Danio rerio: one gene and its partner. The protein of the gene in region 2 interacts with the protein of the main gene of each other region in a biochemical or structural test. Links are inferred from orthologs where the notes say so. Each region holds a gene or a part of one and is shown on either strand. Other genes may lie near its edges.

Region 1 (2,658 bases), on a different chromosome or scaffold from region 2:
GAGAATAATACGACTCGTCCGGGTGTTCAGGATCTTCAAACTGTCTCGGCACTCCAAAGGTCTCCAGATCCTCGGGCACACTTTACGCGCGAGCATGCGAGAGCTGGCGCTGCTCATCTTCTTCCTCGTCATCGGCGTCATCCTGTTCTCCAGCGCGGTGTACTTCGCAGAGGCGGACGAGCCCACGTCACAGTTCACCAGCATCCCAGATGCGTTTTGGTGGGCTGTGGTGACCATGACCACGGTGGGCTACGGTGACATGAAGCCCATCACGGTCGGGGGCAAAATCGTGGGCTCGCTGTGCGCCATCGCCGGCGTCCTGACCATTGCGCTTCCAGTCCCCGTCATCGTGTCTAACTTCAACTACTTCTACCACCGGGAGACTGATAACGAGGACCAGGCGCCCGCCGTGGAACAACCCCCACCGGGTTGCCCCTACTTTCCGGATTTCCTGAGAAAATTCAAGGGGTCCCCATCGGGCTCATCTTTAGGTGACAAGGCTGCGGAGTACATGGAGATGGAGGAGGGCGTGACGGAATCTCTGTGCGGGGGTGACACGCAGAGCCCGAGCAGAGGGAACGGTACTGACTTAGGCGGGAAAAACAGTTCACATTCACGAACCCTACAGACAGATGTATGATTATGGAAGAACGATGACCTTTCATCATGATGACTGCACAAATGAATCAGTTAACAGCACACACATGCACAACTTGAAGACACACACAGTACGCGCGTGCGCAGACACACTGTCTCACACACATTAAGTTCTGGACCTGAGCTGAAACTTTTTTGCAATGTGGCTGGCTACTTTTGTAGAGAAACATACCCTGTAATCACATGACAGGCAACGCAAAAATCACCAGCTTTACGTGACGTGGAGAGGTGTCTCTATCTGCCCGCCTGTTCAGTTCAGTTGACAGAACCGAACGACTCCCGGTTCATTAAATGAAGGAACTTGCATAGGCACTTTATGAGTTACATTTGTCAGTAATTGTAGGAAAAAGAGGCGAGTTCTTATCTAATGCTATTATGCAATAACGTTTAAATCGTTTGCACTATCATCAATTATGTTCTAGTCTCCCACTTTAATGCAGAGGAAAGAAACACTGAGCTAGAGAGAGAAACGACCCCATAGCAATCATGTTTTAAATTGCATTTATAATTAATTCCAAACAATAGCAAACATACGCTGTCCACGACCAATTCAGCTAACAGGAAGGAATTTGTTTCACTATTAGAATTAATTGGAGAGCAGCATGTTGCATAACTTAAGGCTATGTTATCTTAAAAATCCCATTGTGGCAAACATGTGTCCGCATGGCAGTATTCAGTATGTACTACACTCTGGTAAAAAACCCTTTTAGCACACCCTGTGTAGTTATTTGTGCATCGTCCAAAGTGACTAAAGAGTCATTATAGTCGGTCCCTTTTGTGAGTATTGAAAACAAACCAATCATGTTCGTTTTTGTTCATTAGCACAAGATCCACACCACACTACAGTTCATCCATCACGCGATCTAGGCGTCATTCTTTCGCAGCATTATCACATACAGAGTCCAAAATAACCGGTTTGCATTGTCTCACAAAGTAAAACACCTTGTACAACAGAGTCCACACCGACACCGTGGCTTGAAGGATCAGTTTGGCCACTGTTTTCAAGTTACTGTCTTGGGAGTTAATTTCAAGGGGAATGCTTCATGCAACTATCTTGTCTTCATCCCTTTACCAAATGACAATGCATCCCTTTATTAAAATGCTGGCGGAAATCTACAGCACTGATGGGAACATGAACTTGGTGGACTTCATGCACAGCGAATCCTCGTCTCAAAGGAGTGCACGATGACCACTGAGCATGCGCGGTGCATCGCAAACCCAGGTAAGTGTTTTCTGCTGCATCAAGACTCAGTTCAGTCACTCAGTCACGCTGTCATTACTCATGCTCAGATTTACACGCCGTCCAGATGTTTACGCATGTGCGCAGGTGTTTATGCATCTGCGTGGACCCGCTAGTTGCCTGTCAGGCCCAGAAACAGGTGCTCCACGTGATCTCAGCAGGCATGTGATTTCAGATCTCATGTTTTCTTGTTTCATAATAATACATCAACAATGCCTTGAATTGCTTAGCAACAAGGGGCTTATTGTCAGAGAGACGACTGACTGTGCTGTGTTCCCTTGGAATCCAAAAATCCTCATTTGCTCATGAAGTGTGCTGAGCTTCATTTTTCTGATGTCATAATAACTATTACTGATTTTTCTAGACAAGATAATGACCGTTTAATCTGCAGTAAACTGAGATTTTGTCATGACATGCTACACTGAAAAATACGATTTTTGCTAAATTGTTGCAATCAATTTACACTGCTTTTGCTGCTTGTTCAAACTACGTATTCAAAATGAGTTGAAACAACACAATTCTTAAGTTTGTTTTGGGACAACTTAATTGTTTTATGTTCAGTCCACTTAAATTTGTGAAAACCACTATTTCAACTTAATTGATTTGTGTTGGAACAACATGAAGGAATTGTGTGGAACCCAGCATTTCTTTACAGTGCATACACTGTAAAAAGTAACTGTACCAAAAGCCAGTAAACCAATTCCTTTAAAAGCAACAAGTTGCCTTCACAAAGATAATATGAGTAAAAACATTTCAACTTG
Region 2 (3,666 bases):
TATGTCAGAACACACTTTATTAACCTATTACAAAAATATGGAATAAAAGTAGAAATAGTATTGGAAGACTATACATACTTTTGACAAAATAGAAAACAGATAAGTGACATTTAGAAATGTTATCAATTTTTTTAGAAAGCACTGAAAAGGAGCACTGCTAGGATAAGTTCCAGTTGATCTGATGCACCACATGTGGTTTACAGAATAGAAAGGTGAAATAAAAGAATAGAGAGTGTAAAAACAGAATACACTAGAATTATTAGGTGTTTGGGGGGGGGGGGTCTTCAGCTGTTTCGTGAAAATTACTAAACTACAAGTGTATAGAACAGAATTAAGCACTAAAGAATTAACTGAAATGAAATGCAATAGCTATTATAAATTACCCATAAAATGACCCATTTAGTCTTAATAAACCTCTATAACCATGTTGTGCATGACTCTAGCATGCACATTATTCTATTAAATTTGCATAGCAATATTTTAGGTTGTTTCAAATAATGAAAAACTGTCTCCAATCAACAAAACCTCACCAACAACCATACTCTTCCAGTCTTGTGATTCACATAGTAAAAATGATTATTCCATCTTTTAGGTGACATCCTCCTGAATGTGAATGGAGTCGACCTGACAGGTGTGACCCGGAGCGAGGCTGTGGCCAACCTCAAGAACACCTCATCCCCGGTGGTCCTGCAGGTGCTGGAAATGAGACCCCCTAACGAGAGCTCGCTGGACTGCATGCCACCCCTGCACTCGCCCTGCGCCCTCTCACCCTCCTCACCCGGAGATGTCAAACTTCCCCCGCCCAATGATGACTACGCCCCACTCTGGGTGTCCTGGCTACAGCTGCCCAGGTACAATGTGCAGAATAACACATAAATAAAACTGTTTGTGGGTTTCTCTTTATCAGATTTATCACAATTATATATTGGACAAAGCAGATTTGAAAACAGTTAAGGATTCCTACAGTGCAAATAAGTGAGGACTTCAGCAAAGATTTCAGGGAATTTAGCAAAGATTAATGTAAAAGTGACAACATGCTAAATTGAATTAAATTTAATTAATAATTAAATTAATAATTAAGTTAAATTAAATTATATACACTACAGGTCATGTTTATTTCATTTTAAAAAGTAATTAATTAATTAATTAATTAATACAAACAAAAATAAGCAAGCAAGCCAAGACTGATTTTTAAAGACTTTTTAATTGAAATAATTTATTATATATATTTTAATGAACATCTAATATTAAGTACAGTAATAAACTGGAAAAAAACATTTATATAAAATAAAGTGACACTGAAAAGTAAAGCCAGGGCTACAAACATTGTTTTGATCAAACATTTATTATTATTATTATTATTATTATTATTATTATTAATATTATTTATTTGCCCAAATCCTAATATATAGTTTTGTTTTCTTCTTTCTCATTTTCCTCCCTCTCATTCAAAGCTTTTTTCCTCTGCCGGTATTTAATAAATCCGTGGGAATTTGAAAGGAGTGTGAAAGTTCTTAACAACTTCCTAAATTACTTCATAATGCATAACAATTCAGAAAGTGGTATGCAGTGAAGAAAAAGTGAGAGCAGGGTTGAGGAAAGCCCTTCTCACCCTCAGTCTGTAACGGGTTTACACAGTGAAAGTGTGACGGCTTTAAATAGACCTTTCACAGCCTCTCTTTCAATTTATTTCTTCTAGTTCTGTGTTTATCTTTTGTCTATTACATTTTGATTATTCATTTCTACATTATTTTATTTCACAGAAATCCAATCTAAATCTGAGGTCTCAGTCTCATGTGGTCAAAATCTGGCCTTTAATATTTTAATATTCATAACAGTAGCTAAAAATGATATCTCTGTAAAATAAGGCACAAATTGTTTATAAATTATTAATATAAATGAATTATTCTCCATGTATCTCATTTACTGTTCTGTCTTTAAAGGTCTAAACAGACAGATCACCTTCATTTAGATCTATGTAACATAAAAAAAAAATAAAATAAAAATCTGCCACCATTTCAAAAGTGACGCAATGAAATGCAATTCCTTTAAGGGCTTTTCTATTGTATGCTTTGACCTCCTGCTGCATAATTTATTGTCCTCTGTATATCTGCCGAATGACAATAAAATTAACCTTGAATTTTCTGTCCATTCCAGGCATCTCTATTGCTGTAAAGACATTGTCCTCCGCAGGAGCACGTCTGGCAGTCTGGGTTTCAGCATTGTTGGTGGACAAGAAGAACTCAATTGTAACCAGTCCTTCTTTATTCGCTCAATTGTAGAGGGAACACCAGCCTACAACGATGGCAGGATACGGTACGAACAAGACAGTGTCTACTTTCAACAGAAAGCATGCTTTATGTACAACTACAATTCCAAAAAGTTCCATTCCAACAAAAATCACGGAAACCCATATGATTGGTTAAAGCAACAGTTCACTTTTTTTCTAGAAACTAGAGTTAAACTTTGGAGTTTTCCCAATATTTTTTAATCCAACCGGTCAATCTCCTGATATGGCGGAAGAACTTTTAGCTTAGATTAGCGTAGATCACTGAATCGGACTGACTATTAGCATGTCACTCAAAAAAGAAAAAAAGTTTCAATAATTTGCCTATATTCAAAGCCTGACACTTATGTAGTTATATCTTGTACTAAGACTGATGATTAGGGAAAAGTTGCTATTCTATATAGTTCTGTACTCTCATTCTGGCATAATAATCAAGGAACTTTGCTGTTATGCAATGATATTACACCCCATTCACACGTGCGTTAGCGTCAATGCTTCACATTCACTTCGAATGGGTAACGTCAAGCATTGCCGAACTCAATTGTGGATCCGTAAGTGTCGCTTCAGCAGCGCTGCTCACTGCAAAAGTAAATTCTTAAGTGCCAACGGAAGCATCAGCCAATTAGATCACTTTATGCAAATACCCTAGCTCTGACAATAGGCGATTGCGGGCTAATTTCATTGGCTGATGCTGCTATGATGATCGCATCAGACCCAACTTCAAACACGGCCTCCATCAAGTGTTGACGCTGAAGCCCCATGTGAATCGGGCAAAAGACAGTATCTGAAAATAGTCCCCAGCTAGGTAACTAGGTAACAGAGCTGCATCATATATATAATATCATGAATACAGCACAGTCAAATTATACTTGAAAATAATTATTATTGTCATGTACAGAAACATCAGTGCGATTTTACAAACCATAAATGTTGTTTTGCAAGTATTTATGTCTATTTAAATGTCTAAAATCTAAGATAATTCATCTATTTGTAAATCTCTGATTATAGTTAATACAACTTGGATATTATATTTATAGTATATTAATCTATAAAAAATTGCACTTATAACTGTTTTTGCACTCCTGGTTAGACCTAATCTGTGTTTCCTTTTACTTGTACATGTGTAATGACAATAAAGTTAAATGTAATCTAATAAAAATTATTTGTTTAAAAACACTAATAAATCACTGATAATTTGTGATTTATAACAAGCGACGCACAAGTCTTTCTATGGCTCAGCGTGAGCCATCGCGGGAAAGCAGACTTGAATTTAGCAGCTGATTACGGGAGGCACTGAATGTTCTAATCACACCGGTGTGATCGTATGTTCCAGGGACCAGCCAAGACTGATCATACATGTAAAAGTGTTAATAAAAGAT

Evidence for each region. The genes of interacting proteins can lie anywhere in the genome.
Region 1: of the proteins of lnx1 (region 2) and kcna4, one has a biochemical effect on the other in vitro, tested with the Homo sapiens proteins (2 studies listed by BioGRID and IntAct, with this or other methods). The link is inferred for Danio rerio from reciprocal best matches to the Homo sapiens genes LNX1 and KCNA4.

What each region holds. Positions count from the first base shown.
Region 1 is NC_133182.1:32,643,660-32,646,317, reverse strand, and holds part of kcna4 (potassium voltage-gated channel subfamily A member 4), read left to right. Parts: coding exon 1-640; 3' UTR 641-1,879; intron 1,880-2,658. UniProt on the Homo sapiens protein: Voltage-gated potassium channel that mediates transmembrane potassium transport in excitable membranes. Forms tetrameric potassium-selective channels through which potassium ions pass in accordance with their electrochemical gradient.
Region 2 is NC_133195.1:25,286,128-25,289,793, forward strand, and holds part of lnx1 (E3 ubiquitin-protein ligase LNX), read left to right. Parts: intron 1-592; coding exon 593-851; intron 852-2,157; coding exon 2,158-2,316; intron 2,317-3,666.